Neodiprion lecontei: one gene and its partners. The protein of the gene in region 1 purifies or fractionates together with the protein of each later gene. This does not show direct contact. Links are inferred from orthologs where the notes say so. Each region holds a gene or a part of one and is shown on either strand. Other genes may lie near its edges. The genes, in order: ribonuclease P protein subunit p20, ribonucleases P/MRP protein subunit POP1, ribonuclease P protein subunit p40 and ribonuclease P protein subunit p30.

Region 1 (3,495 bases):
TAAGCAATCAAACATCTGCTCGTTGACAGTTCCCACAATTTAATCAAAGAATCTTTTCCAGATGAGAGTAAATACTGAAAATGAATATCAAGAATTTATATTCATATTTTTTACCAAGACACTTTAGTGACATGGGAAAGGACATCCCTGAAATTCACAAAGACAGCAAAGTGTAAATATAATTCTCAGCTGTGTTTGCCTTAGTCACGATTATTGACGTCAGTTTAATTTATAAATTAAAGAAGAAACATACCTTTCCATTTCTTGTAAACGTCACGGAGCAAACCTCGTACCCGTCGTGTGCTTTGACAAAAGTATTTATACACCGATTGGATACACCATCCCATAATTTAATACTTCCATCCTTACCAGCAGAGGCGTAAGTCTTACCGTCCAGACAATATTTAATGCTGGTTATACCTGCCGTATGCTGATGGCTGGGTATACTAGATACAAAGCACTGTGCCGTATTTACATCGTACAATCTAACGACAGGATGATTTGTTCCAACAACAAGAAAATCACCAGTCGGATGAAACGACAAGCATCTGATCTGGTCGGCGTCTGTTATAGTACGAAAAGCTTTCTTAACACTTGCTTTACTGAAGTCAAAGAGCTTGACTGAGAAGTCTCTGCTCCCGGAAACAAGTATTGGCTCCCTGGGATGAAACTCTAAGCAAGTCACCTCCTCCAAGTGATCGTACAGCGTTCTGATCACTGGATGCCCCCCAGTTTGATCACCAGGTGCCATTTCGTCCGGTGCAGATTTGGCCAACATTCTGTCAACATCTAAAATCTTTATCGAGGCATCGACGGAGCCTGTGGCAATTAGCTGTCCATCCGCCGAAAATGCTCCTGCTCTACAATTTCCTTTGTGCGATGTAACATACGCCGTTTCATATTGTGCCGGTTCTGGTGCCTGCGTCTGAGCCTCTGTTTCAAACTCTAAATCTAAACCAGGACCAAGAGTATTATCGACATTGGAAAATGTCGGTAGATTATTTACTTCTTTTTTTGTACGATCTGGCTCATGCGCAGCACCGATTAACATCAAATGCAACAATCTATCTGAAGGTGGGCAAGGCGGCTCAGCTTGTATCATGTTCGACAATTGAACCGCCAGAGTTTGATGACCATCATAGAAAAGTTGGCTGAAAAATATGTTTTCCATATAACTAAGACCACTTTATAGATTAGTAAACACAATTTCATTACTTCGACAAAATGACCAGTCATACGCTTATGTAAAAATGTGTAAACAGCAGGATTTGTGAGACTGTGCCTCTTACAATTTGATATGTAAATGAAAGAGAAAATCAAATCAACTTCTGCCTAATATTGTGATATCACAGTCTGTAATTGTTAGGCAAGGTGTTTCAAGATGTCACTGGGAGTTGGGAAAACTTAGCAAATTAGTGAAGTATTTTTCGCAAATATTCTATATCTGAAAATTTTCTTAGAAAAATCCGATTCCTCCGATATCCCTAATTATGGTGTATAAACTTTCATTGCTGGATACCTTGTCAAATCAGTTTTTCTAAACCCTCTAAGGGACGTATGAAATGACTAGTTTTGCAATAAGATATGAATAACCATTTAGTTAATTATCCGTAATTTTTTTACGAAAACACAAATTGAAGCAATGGTGTCTGAACATAACGAAAACGTGTAATGAGAAGTTTGAAGTAGTGAAAAATTTGAGATTTGCTTACCTGATCATAAGCCGATAGAGCGATTCTCTGCTTTTAATAATATTCTTCGGATCCAAATCTGGCTCCTTCATGTTTGAATGATAATCTCTATTCTCCTTCGGCGACTGAATTTTGCTGGTTTTATTTTTTCAGGCACAAAACGGAATCCGAAAATACGACCAACGACAATTCGTGATTCGCCTCTGTCACCGTCGTGGTCTCTGCGAGGTGAGAGGTTATGTTATGTTGATGCATTTTGCCTGTCGAAGTTAGTCGCACGCATGTCGCACGATTGGATATCGTAATCAGAATCTCAACTCTCTCCATAGGAATTGCCAATCGCATAACCTCCTCTCAGGATACAGGAGAAATGCCACAATGGCTGCTGCGAAAAGCGAAGTTGAATCGAGTCAACAAAATTTGACAGAAAGCTCAATCAAGGACTCTAAGATCAAACTGCGACCCACCTACGAACATGTTATAAGAAAGAGATTACCGCCACGTTTACCGAAAAGTGACAAGGACTTCTATATCACCAACAAAACAAACTTCAAGGTAACCTCAGGCACCCTAACCTCATTTGGTGCGTTTAAATCACATGATGTTCCGTACCATTTTTCAATTATTTTATATAAATATCCATGGTGTGGAGTTGGAAAACTGACAAACACTGTAAACCAGTCTCGTACCTTCTCTTTTCAGCTTGTTTCTGGTAATTACAATTTCCAACGCTCCAGCTATCAGAATTTATAAATTCTTGCTTATATTTTGCACGATTGTTGCTTCATTGTAAACAAGAATATAATTATGCATGATTTCTCATAATACTATCGACTCTGTTTAAGGCTCAGCTGAACAAATGTGAAAAACTACTGGATTCCGGTGAACAAGAAATTGTTATTCATGCTCTTGGTGCTGCGGTAAGCAGAGCTTGCAATTTGGCCTTACAATTGAAAGAAAATCACCATGGCACTGTCGATTTGGACATAAATACGTCGACTGTAGATATAACTGGTAGGTAAAGCTGGGCTAGGATTTGAACATTGAATTGTTGAGTATTAATGGTATAATTAATTTGACTTTTATAGATGATTTTGAGCCTATCACAGATGACGCTGACTATGAGGTAAATCAACGGCAAAATTCAGCCATTCATATTCGAGTGTTCCGCACAGCATTGTTTGAGACATTCAAATAAACACATACTATTAATTTTAAGTGAGTTTATTCAGTCTGAGGTAGTGTTTGGATGTAAGCTTTATATTTTATGAGACAATGAAGAAGCTTAATTTCCATATTTGATATTTGTTTTTTCTTCATTGTGAACTTCCTCAAGATGATATTTTCCCTCAACGAATTAGTGCACTGGCTGGGTTTAACGATATTTGAAATATGGATCAATCTTGTATCATTGACAATATTTACGATTTTGCTAGCCATGAAGATAGATAACAATTATTTCGCAGGCAATGGAGGCTGGTGGATTATATTCTCGCCATTATTTATCGGTGATGGCTTGAACACATATTTTTGTGCAATTATTTTCATAAGAATGCAAATGGATGGAGTAATGAAAAGTGCTATACTTAGAGCACTATGGAGTTTGACTTTTCTTTTGTTAGTTTTTGTTTTCAAGTATTTACTTTGCAAAAAATTGTCAGGTCAAAGCAGTCTGGAATATTCTGAAGTTTTGAGCCCTGTTTTTATTCTCTTACAACTTATTGCTGTCAGGGCTTGTCAGCTTCACTGACCCAGGGCTTTAGATAGAAATGATCCTGTCATAGAATTTTCTTTACAACAATCT
Region 2 (6,016 bases), on another chromosome or scaffold:
TGCTTTCTTATAATCGGTGTTAGAAACTACACATATTCACTTACAGAAATTAACGAATACTTTTCAAAATAGCTTGGTCACCACCAGCAGTCCTGCTAATTCTTAAAATGATATTCAAAGGTGAAGGTTTTTCAGACCTAAAGTATATATTTTTACAGTACTTATTTAATTTATTTCGAAGTATGCTCATTGGAACCATTAAATAAAGTTGCTACATAGCAATCTTACTGTTAATTGGATCAAAGTTTTCTGATATAGATTCACAGCGCCAGCACGGGGTTATTACTGTTTATTGTGGTTAAAAAAGTATTATCTTTCAAATACCTTGTATAGTAGCAATAGGTATACAGTACGACTGCTAAGTTTTGCTGGCAAAACGAAGAAAAAATAATAATGAAAGCACTAGTAGATATAAAATAGTAACATGTAGGCGTACCTGTGTATTTTATTGCATGTACGTACATGTCTATGTGCGAATATAAGATCGAAATAATAAAATAAAAATCATAAATAAAACGAAGGCACGATTTTTTAAAACGCCCTGTTAAACACGGGCTTTTATTTCATTAGATTTGTAAACGGGAAAAGTCTACTTTGTTGATTTAATTTCAATTGCTCAACGTGCAATGGGAAACTACTGGTAATAATAATATCAAATGACAAGAACTGCCAGTTCGTTTATTGTTTGTACATCGCACTGGCAAATAACTGATGAGAATTTGGACTCTCTTCTTCTACACTTTAAAAATCATGATTCTTTTCCCAATATACTATATACTTCCGTCTATGGTAGGCGATAATTTTATTTATGAAACATAATAATTAGCGCATAGCCTGTCACAATGTAATAGTTTTAGCAAAATAAGGTATTCAAATAAATCTCTTAGAGCCACATTCAAATGGTTTCTACAATTACCTTGATGCGCTATTTAAGAATTTCCAGAAGAAATCGTTGATTTATATACATTTGTACGTTACTCTCCTGAAGTTAATTGATCATTCACAATATATTTACAGGTCAATAGTTATTCATGTCAGTATACTAAGTCTGGCGAGTCTGTATTGTCTAGATCTTGTGTTTCTGATCAGAACTACGTTACTTTTCTGCTTAATTAGGCTAAACAGAGAGGGAAGTGTTACGTATCCCAGTCCGATTCCCTTTGATTCGGTAAAACTGAAGTCTCCTTTAACCACGTATCCCATAACTTCTCGATCGCAAGAGTTTCGTATCGTTTTGCAATTTGGCAAATAGAGATTCTTCATCTTTTCAGCCTGCAGGTCAACAATACTTTGAGCCTTTTTTCGCGAAATTATTTTAGACATCGCAATGCTGGAACTGGGCTTTGGCTCAACCGATCTGTGATCACTACTCTCCATTTTAATCCGCTGTTTTACTCTTTGTCTTCTCAAACGTTTCAATAGCGCCAAGTGACCCCTTCTCAAAGTTTTTCTAATCGATTCGTTGGGGTCTTTTCTTAGCTTAGCTACAGGCCCTTCCCAGGTTCTTTTTTGGCCCAATTTTTCTAAATCCTCAGAGAGGGGTAAGCAGATTATGGCAAAATCTCTGGGACACCCTTTGCTTTCTATGACAATCTTTACAGTTATTAACGTATTAGTGTCTTTGAACACAGTTTTGTCGAAACTTGATTCACAAAGCTGTTGATACTTCTTATGCCGGTTCAATGGTAATTGATGAGAGATATTTTCTTGTATTAAATGAAGCAGTTTCTTATCTCTGAGTACATAGAACGTTGCCATATCTGTCCATTCCTTGATAAGTAAATTCCACTCGCAATAGAACGGACTAGAAATACCAAGTTTCACGTAATTTGATCTCCTGTTTGGAGGATATCTGAAATACTTTTCCATTAGACTAGTCTTTCTTTCTGAAGCTTCTTTTATGTATGCTTCTGTATCTGGCGGATTAAAATCAGGCGAATTCAACCTAAGATTTTCAAATATAATTGATGTTGATTCCCTCAAACCTCCTGGTTTGGCACAACGAAAAATAAACGAGATCCAAAACGGAGTTGCCCAACCAGATGGTAAAATTACGTCGATTCCAGAACTGAATCCTGAAAATAATTAATCCAGTTAAACAATCGAATATTTGAAATGCCAATTCAAAATTTGAGTTTGATAGAAGAAATACACTTGGGACTTAAATTTTTACTTGCCTTTCAGTCTTTCTGTTATAATACTAGAAGCTCACAAGTCACATTCTCAAAAACTGTCATAACTACATCCAGAATGACTAGATAAATTTTAAATAACGATGGAATGAATGCAATTTGCATGGCTTACCAAGACTTTTTTCTCCATAGCCGCATCCAGGCCTCTGAATAAGAAGAATAGGTACTTTGGCAATATAGCTTTGGTCATATTTATCGTCATTGCCAATACCGGGAACTAAATTTTCACTTCTCAGTTTGTTTATTTCATTTGTAGTCTTGAAGTTTTTCACCGATGATTTTCTGATTCTGGGTTCCCATATTGCACTAACATTAATAAGTGTGGGAGGAACAGGAATCGTCTCAATGGTCCTTGCATTTGTCTGCGCTTTATTTCGTTTAGTCGGGACGAAATATCTTGGATCCAAAACTGTGAAAGCCATAACTGCACATGGGGGAAGCTGGTTGGGTGAATTAAGATCCCTCAGATGTTCAAAAACCTCTTTTTGAACTTGCAGTGACTGAATGTTCTCTGAGTCCCTATAATACTCCGAATACCATGATCGGGCAGTAGTCTCAAGTGATTCGTTGTTGTCATCTCTATCAATACGAGTATTGCTCTCGACGTCCATTGGTTCAATTTCCTTCTTAGAAACCTGAACGATTTCAACATCACTATCCGAATCACCACATTTTGGTGAATCTGTTTCCATGGTAGTATGTGACTTCACTTCATCTCCTTCTCCCTCAGATTTTCTCACTTCGTCAAGAATTTTTCCTATCTCTGGCAGACGTAGGGCAGTCGTGAGCACTGCCAGACTCAATGGACCGCAAAGTCTGAACCTGTTCAAGGAATTCTTCAGTAATACTAATCTGCAATTATCAGCACCCGAATACTCTGAATCTGAGGAATGGCACGGAGACTCAAGATTAAACTTGAAGCTGTTACAAATCTCCGACAATATTAGCTGATAAAATGCAGGATGCGCCCACATCCATAATGTTTTTAGTTCAGAGTTACCAGGCCTCCATATGAACTCTACAGTTCCCACAGGTGATGTTGGATATCCGTTCTTCCTGTAGAACATAAGATTCCCCTCCCTGCTACCCTGGATATAGGATTTTGCTGTGAAGCTCAGGTTGCCAGGATCGCAGTGATTCTTGAGCATTTTTTTCAGCGCATTAATCGGTCCAGTTAGCTGAATGCAAGAATAGTAAGATATGTCCTGTAGCAGGCAGTGTTTTGCTACTGCTCTGTAACTCGCTCTAAAACTGCGATCATTTGAGTGCTCAGGGAGCCTGTGACCCCATTTTTCAACCATGTGAAACCTTTTTGCGTGCCACACGTGTGTTTCAAGCCAGGCATTCTTTACCTGCCTACGCTTGTACTCTGCGATCAGGTTCTGTGGCCTTCGCCGGTACTTTCGGGAGGGTCTTTTTGTTTTGGGTGGCAAACCTGACTTTGACATTTGGTGAATATGCATCTCTCGTAGTCTCCTTGGCATACGCTTTGCATTGTGGGACATTATTCTGCGACGCATATGCATCGGTAGTTTTTGGAATATTAATTTTGTCTGTTGAGGATTATCTGCAATATCAAGGCATAATGGTCATTCTTCAATAAAAATTCAAAATTCCCGCGCAATTAACACTCTCAAGTATTATCAAGTTAATGGCATTGTTGGGGAAATGAGGGACGAAATAAAAGAAAGAAAAACCTGGGTATACATCCGGGAAAGATACATATTCCATGTCAAGGTGGCTGAATTATGAAGCACCAGAGACATTTAAACAAAAGCAGGAATTGGAGAGGGAACAATATCTAGATTAGGTTAGGTTTATTTTATAATGGACGGGAAAATATTTTACCTATGGAATAAGTCATCGCGGCGATTTCATTCGCTCTCGCCGATGCCAGTTTCATGATATGTGCTTCGGGAGGTAATTCCTGGGATCCACCGAGGAATATGTCGAATTGAGCCTTTTCCGCCATACTTGAAGTTTCCGTGACAATTCTTGTACGAGAAATTGTAATTGGATTCTGATCCAAGCATTTGTACCTTCCAACGAACACTACGAGCCGATATTTCGAAATTTGATTTGAGGTTATGTTCAGTCTTGCTCGAACCACGTGACAGAAAGAGTATCATTCATCTTCGACCACGTGTGTATGTTGTTCTGGTGTATACCTAGATGTCTAACACTAAGGCGCAGGCAAGAAAATTACAGTTCTAGTTTCTCATGTCTGCGTAGTTATTCACAATCTCCAGTATTGGAATTGCAGTGTTAGGAATGTTGATCATTGATCGGCCTTCGATTTTTCTTTTGAACTGATAACATGAATAGAAATAAATGATACGCACGAACAATAGCAGAATATTACGTTACAATTTGCGCGTATTGAAAATTGCGACTCCGTCCGAATCAGTCATCATTATATCACCGTACTAGCTTACGCGACGAACCTCATACCTAAGGTTGACAATATTGCGTATATCATACAGTAATAATGGCGATGAAAATTATTCGAAAAATTATATCAACTACAAGGGCACCAAAATCGGCCGGACCATATAAGTGAGTCGTAATTACAGCGCACTTTAATAAAGAAATCAAAGACTAAAACAAGGACAGACAAAATCTCAGTCACTTATATTTGTCTAAAATTTTAGGGGTCGAGATTTCTCTCAAAAAGTTTTTCTACAAAGTTTAACATACACTCATGAAGTTATGGAGCTGAGATAGTTCATCATATGACATATCTTTCAAATTTAATTTGTGATATTTCGGGATGGAAGAATTCTGTACGGACATGTTGAATTATACGAATCAATTCGCAAGCACTCCAGAAATATGCCGATATTTGATAGCTGATAATTTGTTCCATCACGTGGTATTAGTAGCTTTACTAATTGCTGTACGTTCACTAGCATAGCTGAATGTGTACGCCACTGCCATTGCACACAGGTCATAGTTCACAGAGTGTATCAAACGTCGTCATTTACAATGCTTGTGAGCTGCACACAATCGTGCACGAATACATAACACTACTTGAAAAATGTATATATTCCACATGCATGCGCGGACGTATATGTACGACTGATTGAATTATACCTCTATACAAATAAAAAGATAATTCGGTATTGGAGAAAGCCGGTCAGTCGCTTATACTCTTAGTGTACTGCGGTTTGCCCTGAAAGAACATGGCGTCTATAATACGGAAAATTATTACTTGTCCAGCAGCGCCTAAACCCGTTGGCCCTTATAAGTGAGTTAAAATATCAGGATACCTCTATGTTTACCTAACGAATGTTTTTCGTTATTCATTTACTGATCGTGCAAGTTACGATTTCTTATAATACATAGTATTCACATCTTACGGACGACTCCGGTGCGAAAAGCGCATCAATAATCTGTTTTCGATCACAAATAAAAAGAATTAAAATGAATATCAATATCATATTACTTACATTACATATATTCAATACAGTTTATTTGATTTCTGCCAAATTATTGTCATTACTTGTTCTTTATTAAGAACGGATACGTCTAAATATGATGTTTAGTTATCTCACTATTTTTCCTTTTCTGCACGCCATTTACTGCATATCGGTGTGTAGATAACAATGCTACGTTGATAATTGTATTGCTCAAACATTGGTGATGCACGTAACAAAAATCAAAATTTTTTGTTCCACTTGCAAATTTTTTTTGAGATACTAATCATTGTTTTTCTTATTGTTAATAGTCAAGCTGTCCTAGTCGACCGAACCGTTTATCTTTCTGGAGTACTTGGGCTTGATAAGGATTCTGGGAAGCTGGTCGATGGTGGGGCAGCCGGAGAA
Region 3 (4,713 bases), on another chromosome or scaffold:
GCCTGCGACGAAAGCTTTGATCGGGGAAACATTTTCTCGACGATGACAAAGACTCCTGGAGCTCGAGCCAACGGCGACGTTGCCGAGGGGCATGACCCCCTAATTCAACGCGCACCTTTCCTCTGACGTCACAACCGTGTTACGTCACATTGTGTGCGGGGTTACGAACCTTCGATTAAACCAGTGAAACGCCTTTTCTTAGCCTAAAATATCCACAGTTGTGTGCGATATACGCAAGGCTTACGAAATGTGCAAACATGTGTATATACGCAGTATAAGGTGCGCGTATCCGTCACGCCGCTAATTACGCCGCTAAGGTGTATTATATTTGACAATTAATTAAGGTACGGTGTTTGACCGGGAAGAAATTGAGGTGTTGCATAACAAGAATGATAAATTAGAATGCGAGTTACCTATGAAACGTGAAAACAATCTGCATCCGAGAAATACTTTTCTTTTTTCACTCTTTGTCGGTATCCGATTACAGGAAACAAGATTTTCCATCAATATGAAGATCACCGAGAACAAAGCTACGATGTTAAATTTCTGTATCCCTCGAAATAATCTTTGTACAAAATCAAATTATTTCAGAGGGTTATTCAACTTCCGAGAAATAACTCTTCCGACTTAAGAGGTTTTGACGAGTGTACAGGTATACAACAATTTTCACAGTATTTATTTACTTGTTTGAGACAAATATTGACCCCCGTAAAATTAGTATCTCAAACCCTTGGTAGAACTTCTTCTCTACGGTCTGGGGAAAAAGAAAGACAGATTTCGAAACGAACTTTTTCAATCCTTTCCTTATTGTATAAAACGATTGCCTCATACTTTGGAAAGGAAAAAATTGCGTCCCGTATTTTTGAAGAAGAATCCTCACTTCGAATTCACAACTTTCGTATCAAATAATGAACTTTGGCAATACTTTAAACATACTCATATTATGACGGATATAATTATATTATAGAGATTCAATTTCATCGGGCTAATTGTGCCTGAATGAGAGAAAACGTTGTTCCTTCTCATAACAGTCATCGAGTAACATTCCGTAAAGCATATAACAATATAAAATAAGCAATTGTAACGAATAAATTTTGAGAATTGAAGTAGAATTTTAATTCGTGATACGCACGAGGATTGATTAACGAATTGACTTCCACGAACTTTTTATATTGCTAGTACTTCTCATCTAACAATTGTCCACATTCTTCGCTGACTTGTATCCCCCAACCCCGTTACTTTTATTCATTTCAGAGAGCTTATTATTTATTGCTCACACGTTACATACGAATCATTGTCCATATAATGCGCCAATAAACGTCAAGTCGGCAAAAATGTGGAAAATTGGATAAACACGCAACTTTGCGACTATACTTATATACTACCTCAATCGTGGGAAGTTGATTTACCCACGTGTATATCTATGTTTAAAAAACATGTCTGCTATCGCTGCAGGAGATATTATATTCCCGGAAATGCGTTCGTACTGTAGAAAAAAAAACCATCCGAATAAACTATGTAACAAAGACTAACGAGAAAATGAATAAGTGTGGAATGAAAGACGGAAACCAAAAAACTCGCTATAAGAACCCTGTGTAATAATAATATTAATGTAAGTGACGAGAATATTTTATTATGGTGTAAAATATACACTATACAATTGAAATGAAAATATTCCAATTTTATTTGTATATAGTGTAATATACGTACAAGTATTTACGTTACTTTATACGAGAATCAAATAGGTATTTTAGGCTGTGACGTGAGTAATGTATCGAGAATATATTAACACGAGTAAACTAATTAGAACATTAGAAGAATAAAATTATAGCTTTCTTTGCCGTATTTATATTCTTATTTATTAAATATACGAATAATGATGAAAAATCCAGTCGAATTTGAGTGACAGGATATTTGATTTTTGACGCAGGTACGCGAAAATACGCCATTTTGGTATTACGGGTTTCGCTCGAGATTCAATCAAAACAATTTCAATTCATCAACACGCGTTATAATTGGAGAATTTGTCGTGTATGCGTCAATCGGTTTGTACGTATTTTAAATATACTTGATTTGTACGGGTATTATTCCTAGGTATAGCATTTGATGTGTAAATTGCGCCGGTCGCAAGTGGGGTACATAAAAAAACAAAGAAAACTATATTGCAAATAATATGGTGTACTATTACTTATACATATAATTATGGGCATTGTTACGAAAACGTACACGTCTCTGCTAGTTTCGTAATAAAATGAGAAAATAATAAACGGTCGATTATTTGTTTCATAAGGACAAATAACTCATTATCTTATCTTCCTTGTTTCTTAAATCAGCTGTGTCGAATGAAGTTTCGACCGTGCGCAGTAACAATACAATGCAACAATATACGACCAGTCACATGTAATACTTTGGTAACCATAGAAATGGTTCCATTCTACGGACACATTGAAAAATAATCAACTGCCGATCAGCACAAATCGTATGAAAAACTCACTTACCAGTGCTTTGGCACCTCGTCAATTCCCTCTTCGAGTTGCCGATAATTGTCTTTCACATCGACGCGTGCAACGAATCATTTCACAAAATTGCAATAGAGCAAGCAAATCAGTTTTTTGAACATTAATCACACGTATATTTATTCGAAAAACAAGATGGATTCTGAGGAAACGAACATCCGAAATAACCGAACTAGAAATCGCGCCTGTTATACTCACGTGTTGATCGAAACAATGGAGAATTTATATTTGTACCAACGCGAGTAAATCCAATTCTACGATTAATTATTACAAGGCAGCCTGTCAGTATCTATAAATTATGTAAACCGCACTGATGCCGACACGTGTTAGTTTCTTTTGAAAAATTAATGAAACAAATGCACATCGGCGAGCTACAACGAATTCAGATCTAATTTAACAGTTGCGACCAACTTCATGGACAAGGTTGCAATATTACGAAATACCAGATTCATCAGACGATGGAAATCTATGTTGAATCAGGGAAAAATTCCGGTAAAACTAACCGAAACCGGTGACTGCTGATTGTGAAACTAACACACCGAGTCCTGCAAACGCGACGCGTTCTGACTTGTCAACTCTAGAATCTAGATGTTCGATGTCGCGTCAGCTGATGCTCCTTTGTTTGATATAAGGGAGCGCCGTTTCGACGCACGCGGCGGTTGTTGGAACTAACTTTGTAATAAGTTTCTAGGCTTCTGTCTAAAGGGTCTAAAGCCAGACTCGAAGAAATTTAATGCGTGGACTGTACTACATACATGCCTATGTATACCGTACGTATGCATATATCACTGATCTGTGGTACGTACGCATGAGCGCATATGCGACGGCCGTCACAATAAAGTTTAATTTAATACATAGAAAACAGCTGTTCGAAACGTAAGCGTACGAAGTTTATCTGAATTATTTTCCATCGTTCCCAATACGAGGATCGCTGTATTATGTCAATAACGAAATAAAATACAATACAAGACTAGGCGTAATACGCAATTGGATAGCTTTTCGGTGTTTCCTTGGTTCTTACCTTTCTGACTGACAATAACCGCAATGCCTGTTCGTACGACGCGGTGTACGCATTTTCATTAATAATCGGGAAATGCTGTGCCCAGAAGTGTGGGACTTTAAAGCCCCGCAGCACTACTTCAAGGTCGATCATTCGGATTGTTTAACAAAGAACGTGACGGGCGTGATTAGAAAACACTATTTCAACCACTCGGTAAGCGGTATAACGCGATCTCGCGATTATAAATTATAGGTTAGGTTGATTTTATTATGCTGCGCTGCGTAGCTGTAACGAGAGATTTACGTAATTTTAAATAATTCTTGGATTATTGCCAGGTATCTGTCGTCATTCCTGATACAGTTAATTTACCACCGCATTATTTCGAATCGTTCAACGAAGACAACGACTATTACAGAGTCAACAATTTATCAGCATCCGAACTGGTTGACAAAGAATTCATCGAGGCCTTTGTGAAAAACGGTAATTCAATATTTCCACCAATTTTTCATTATAATTTTAAAACACTTCGTTGCACTTTTTCTACTCTTGATTTCCCGCCGGTGAAACACTAATAGGATGGAAAATTTTCCGTGTTTCTTAACTTACAATCGATCTGCAAACGCCATTTTTAGCAAATTTTCAGAACCTTGTATGCATTTGTTTATCAGCAGGTAGTTAAAAAAAATAAACTGTCCGCCACGGAATTTTCATTTTTCCACTACTTCTTTTGACAGAAACAACTTTTTCTTTTCGCCATCAGGTTTAATTATACAGAATTATTTTCAATAGCATCTGTAGTAGATTACTTTGCATGTATGCAAAAATTATTTAACAGAGCTGCCTTTTTAACTGGCTACTTTTTGTAACTGAATATCATCTAAGAACAATTTCAGGTGAGGTCAGTGTGCTGGCAATAGAGAGTCACATCGACACCCAGAATTCACTCGCTGTAACTCCGTCTGGCCATTTGATACTTTCCTTGGTTAAAGAAGATTTCCAAACACTCGGTATCGAGGGAAAACCTTCGTTCTTCGACCGTAATATCAAAAATCGCTTTGGTGAGTTATTGGAAAGCTAAATAAAATCTCTAAATAATAAAGGATAAGTGACAAACGGAAAACTTAAGGGGTATCAGATTGACAAAATGCCAAAGAAACACCAAATAGCTTCGCTGGAAGAATTGGCCCTCAGGTCGGT
Region 4 (3,928 bases), on another chromosome or scaffold:
TGTCCTATTTCAAAGACTGAAGTTGAAAGGTGTTCAAAAGGAGAATAGTCTGTAAATAATTTGCTTCCGATAGCAATTAAAAATCTATAAACTTACAGTAAAAGTTTACTTTTGCTCATTTTCATTTCCTCTTTGCATCATTCTGTTTAGAAACAGTTCGAGTCTGTGTTCGTCTGTGGAATGTATAATATGCTATCTGTTCAATATTGTTTTTATTATTATCCCTATAAAGTACATTAAATACGAAGATTTTTCCAACAATATGTAAAACTGTGGATAATTGCGTTAAGAAAATTTTCGTTGATATGTTAATGCTAAATTAAGATTAAATTTAATTTAATCATAACAGATCTTAGATATAGCTACCAGATGTAAAATACCAATGGATAAGTGTGTAAATTATTTCCCCCGCTAGTAATAACAAAAAATAAGTACATATTATTGAAATACCAGTTATGTAACAAATCTTTATCTTTTAAAATATAGTCTACTCAAATCGTATGGATCAATTTTATTTTTCACAAATTACTCTCCCGACTGATCACAGTTTTATTTTTTTTGCTTCGGTACAAGTGTCACCATGTTCATCGTCTGTTTCCTCCGCTTCTATTTCCATTTCCGATTCCATCTCTCTTTTTTCGGTGCTACATGTTTGTATTCGAAAAACTGCTTTTCCATAGCGTCTTCCTTCTAAACTCAGTGTAAAAATATGTCATTATTGTTATTAAAAAATTTCTATCATAATTATATCGACCCACCTGCTCTCAAAATGACATATCGACTCTGTGAGAGGATTGAAGCTTTAGCTTTTGTCTCATTCATTCCCAGAATAGAAGCTCTAGCATAAAAATGACTAAGGAATATAACAGATGTAGAATCAGCACTCAATAATTTTCAAACCACCAAACTTCAGAAATTGGCTACTGTAATACCCAGTTGAATTCAAATATACTTGATAAATTCTTCAAAGGATACAAATTTATTATATCATAAGGACTCCTAATTTGGGTTTCAATTGAAGCTCCGCTACTGATGAAGATGTTCTGAAAGAATAACCATGATGCAGAAAAATTTTGACAAGCAGGTGCCGATCCATTTATAGAAAGAAAAAATTACTTTGCTTTTGCCAAACATGTGGAACAGATGGGAGTAATGTATAGCAAACTTTCTGCTCGCACTACTAATAACATCGCAGTACTGAATTTCAAAATTAATTCCTCTCTCTACAGCTTGTAAATATAACTTCCTGCTCAACTTTAGCCCAACACAATTTCTGTTTAATAATACGATGTCTGTATTGAGTTGGGAGCAAGCAAACTGGAAAAAAGAAAAGAAGTATCAAGAAAATCATAAATTAATCCGCAGTACCAAACTTATATAGTAGTCATCGTGCAAATCTTACCAACGTACCTGAAATGCTGCTTGTGTTTTAGGTACAACAGCGTATAAGTCATACTTTCTCAGACTCGATGATTGATTCTGAAAATATTGAACAAATTTAAATACTTGAATTCAAAAAAATAAATTAAATTTAAAATACCTATTCTCAGTGCCTTAGAATTGCTGAGATTATATCGGATCAACTTTTTACAGACTTTTATAACGTGTTTACCAGCGTATGGGTTCTTGTGGGATCTCCGAACACGAACGTAAGACGATTTAAAATACGAAGCTTTCCAGCATATTCTGAAATTAGATCAGCGATGTCTGGAGGACTCGGGACAGTAACTCCCAGAGCTTCATTGTCACCGGCCTTTTTCTTGTTTTTCTTTTCAGATTCGAAAACTGTCTCTTCTATTGTTCGGTTGATTGCTACTGTTGAATAACCCACTGGTGAGAATTGAAGAAAAACATTACGATATGTCATAGTTGTAGATTCTGATTGATCTTCATTTGTTTTCTATTTACATCAAATGAAATGAGAATTTTTGTTCATACGTACATACTTTCATATAATTTATCCAGCACTTTATGTAATGTATTTTTATTTACAATTTCTGCATTTATGCATAGGTCGCAAAACCCGAAAGCAGTCTCCATTTCAGTGAATAATTACATTCACCAAACGTGGTAATAAAATATACACAATAGTATTGAACAGCTGAACCACAAACAACGTATAGAGTAACGAAGGTATACTACGTTTAACGAGAGAACCAAAGTAGAGGATCACACGTGCACAGACCACTGGATCTCTATTATAACTAAAGATCAGTGGCACAGACTTTTTCGCAACGCCATCTGGTGACTCTGAGAAAAACTAATCGATAATAATCGGTATGTTACACCGGTTACGCGGCTCGAATCTTCGACTGCGGGGACTGGTCGGAGGTGGTTGAGTACTTATAAGAGTTCTATTTGTGCACGGTTGAACGTCGTTTCGTGTATGCATCGTTATTAGTTTGTTATTTTAATATGTCAAACAATGCCACGTTCCGTTGTGAACAATTCTGATGAAGATCACAAAGCCAAAAACGGTAAGCCGCAGTTCAAACTTTTGTGTGAATATCATTTTTATCACAACCGCCAATTGTCTGACGACCGTTACGATTTCAAATATGTCTGAGCGATAACATTGCCATTCTTTAATCTCCCTCGCATTTTTTTGCCTCGTGAACGGTCCGTACCACGTTTTCGTACATGTGGAATCGCGTATCGGTGCAAACATAATTGGAATAATTTTAATCGAATCATAGATCTTCCTCAACCTAATTTTGCTGCTCTATGTACACGGTGACCTAGCATCAAGTGACCAAACTGATAGGGGTTATATAGGCGGTTGAACTGAGTAAATTAAACGAAAGAACATGTGACCTACGAAGTCGCGTTCGCGAGATACGACCGGTTAAAAGAGATCTCGCTAAGCGCTGGCATATAGGCAACCGAGTATACATCAAGCCGCGGATAGCGATCCTTGTCGACATTCGCTCGAAATTCAATAGTTATGCAATTCAATCGCCAGATTAAAATTTTTTATTGATTCACGGGATTGTTTATGGGGTATAAGCAAATATTGCTTTGCTCATTTTACACGTATTATTATGTAGGAATCGACGACAATTAAATTTAGTCGTTAAATTTGTAATGAAGCGACATTGGAATGTCGTTGAAAGTTTGTTTGGGAGTAGAAGCAAGTCTAATCATAATGGACAAAGATATTTCAGAATTATTTACCACTTCTATGATATTGGAAAAAATTATTTAAAAAAATGTATACATGTCTGAAGTTGTATCCAGCTGTCTAGGTCATGACATGTTGTCACCTGGCAACAACAATAGCTGGATTAGAGTTACTTTTCGATTATGAACAAAAAAAAATGGGTTCTATGGATGACAGATCTTGGAAGTATATATAGTGATAAACAAAGTTGTCGTAACATCATTAGAGAAAATTGTACTTTTGTATTATTATACATATACAGGTACAATGTAGTTTAGTAACGTTCAAAGCTTTCACATGGTACCTGTAATCACTTACATGGTTTTGGAGATCAGTTTCTAGATACCGGCCAAGCGAGGACCTAAAGGTGAAAATATTTGTTTAGATCTAATCTCACGAATGTATTGAACGACATTGAATGTTATGTTTACGAGTGCCATAAATATTTGGAATGTTTGTTCCGATTTTCTGTTCTATTCGTTTTTTTATAAACTTTTTCAGAAACTAGCTTTTCTTTCCATAAGACTTGTTCGTTTTTTTTTCTTCAGTAACGTCATTATTTTCGGTGCCAACCTTACTCATTTCGAAGAGTATACGATTTTTTCACAATAACACTACGCGACGTTACCAAACTCTGAAAAACCTAATAGACTATCCAGGCACGCAACGCAACCGAATTTTGACTGGCTGCGTAACGTCGTTAAGCCTTGATGAAAAACAAATCATAAAGTCTCATAAGAATTTGTTGAGAAAACTATGTGTATCTGT

Evidence for each region.
Region 2: the proteins of ribonuclease P protein subunit p20 (region 1) and ribonucleases P/MRP protein subunit POP1 purify together in Homo sapiens (affinity purification with mass spectrometry; 3 studies listed by BioGRID and IntAct, with this or other methods). This does not show direct contact. The link is inferred for Neodiprion lecontei from reciprocal best matches to the Homo sapiens genes POP7 and POP1.
Region 3: the proteins of ribonuclease P protein subunit p20 (region 1) and ribonuclease P protein subunit p40 purify together in Homo sapiens (co-immunoprecipitation; 4 studies listed by BioGRID and IntAct, with this or other methods). This does not show direct contact. The link is inferred for Neodiprion lecontei from reciprocal best matches to the Homo sapiens genes POP7 and RPP40.
Region 4: the proteins of ribonuclease P protein subunit p20 (region 1) and ribonuclease P protein subunit p30 purify together in Homo sapiens (co-immunoprecipitation; 4 studies listed by BioGRID and IntAct, counting the BioPlex papers as one, with this or other methods). This does not show direct contact. The link is inferred for Neodiprion lecontei from reciprocal best matches to the Homo sapiens genes POP7 and RPP30.

Annotation. Positions count from the first base shown.
Region 1 is NC_060263.1:36,111,284-36,114,778, reverse strand, and holds ribonuclease P protein subunit p20, read left to right. Parts: upstream 1-2,046; 5' UTR 2,047-2,069; coding exon 2,070-2,246; intron 2,247-2,536; coding exon 2,537-2,705; intron 2,706-2,779; coding exon 2,780-2,889; 3' UTR 2,890-2,993; downstream 2,994-3,495. Other genes in the region: cleavage stimulation factor subunit 1, read right to left, coding at 1-74, 254-1,151, 1,713-1,783; transmembrane protein 203, read left to right, coding at 3,028-3,441. UniProt on the Homo sapiens protein: Component of ribonuclease P, a ribonucleoprotein complex that generates mature tRNA molecules by cleaving their 5'-ends. Also a component of the MRP ribonuclease complex, which cleaves pre-rRNA sequences.
Region 2 is NC_060264.1:26,747,852-26,753,867, forward strand, and holds ribonucleases P/MRP protein subunit POP1, read right to left. Parts: upstream 4,405-6,016; 5' UTR 4,165-4,404; coding exon 4,041-4,164; intron 3,760-4,040; coding exon 2,305-3,759; intron 2,076-2,304; coding exon 1,030-2,075; 3' UTR 543-1,029; downstream 1-542. Other genes in the region: 2-iminobutanoate/2-iminopropanoate deaminase, read left to right, coding at 4,681-4,748, 5,920-6,016. UniProt on the Homo sapiens protein: Component of ribonuclease P, a ribonucleoprotein complex that generates mature tRNA molecules by cleaving their 5'-ends. Also a component of the MRP ribonuclease complex, which cleaves pre-rRNA sequences.
Region 3 is NC_060261.1:34,620,664-34,625,376, forward strand, and holds the start of ribonuclease P protein subunit p40, read left to right. Parts: upstream 1-1,705; 5' UTR 1,706-3,609; coding exon 3,610-3,729; intron 3,730-3,851; coding exon 3,852-3,996; intron 3,997-4,409; coding exon 4,410-4,574; exon of another isoform or gene 4,575-4,660; coding exon of another isoform or gene 4,661-4,713. Other genes in the region: uncharacterized protein LOC107219723, read left to right, coding at 1-126; uncharacterized protein LOC107219755, read left to right, coding at 4,661-4,713. UniProt on the Homo sapiens protein: Component of ribonuclease P, a ribonucleoprotein complex that generates mature tRNA molecules by cleaving their 5'-ends. Also a component of the MRP ribonuclease complex, which cleaves pre-rRNA sequences.
Region 4 is NC_060261.1:32,864,063-32,867,990, reverse strand, and holds ribonuclease P protein subunit p30, read right to left. Parts: upstream 2,205-3,928; 5' UTR 2,041-2,204; coding exon 1,947-2,040; coding exon of another isoform or gene 1,943-1,946; intron 1,831-1,942; coding exon 1,613-1,830; intron 1,480-1,612; coding exon 1,411-1,479; intron 1,318-1,410; coding exon 1,117-1,317; intron 1,044-1,116; coding exon 976-1,043; intron 839-975; coding exon 759-838; intron 691-758; coding exon 542-690; 3' UTR 526-541; downstream 1-525. UniProt on the Homo sapiens protein: Component of ribonuclease P, a ribonucleoprotein complex that generates mature tRNA molecules by cleaving their 5'-ends. Also a component of the MRP ribonuclease complex, which cleaves pre-rRNA sequences.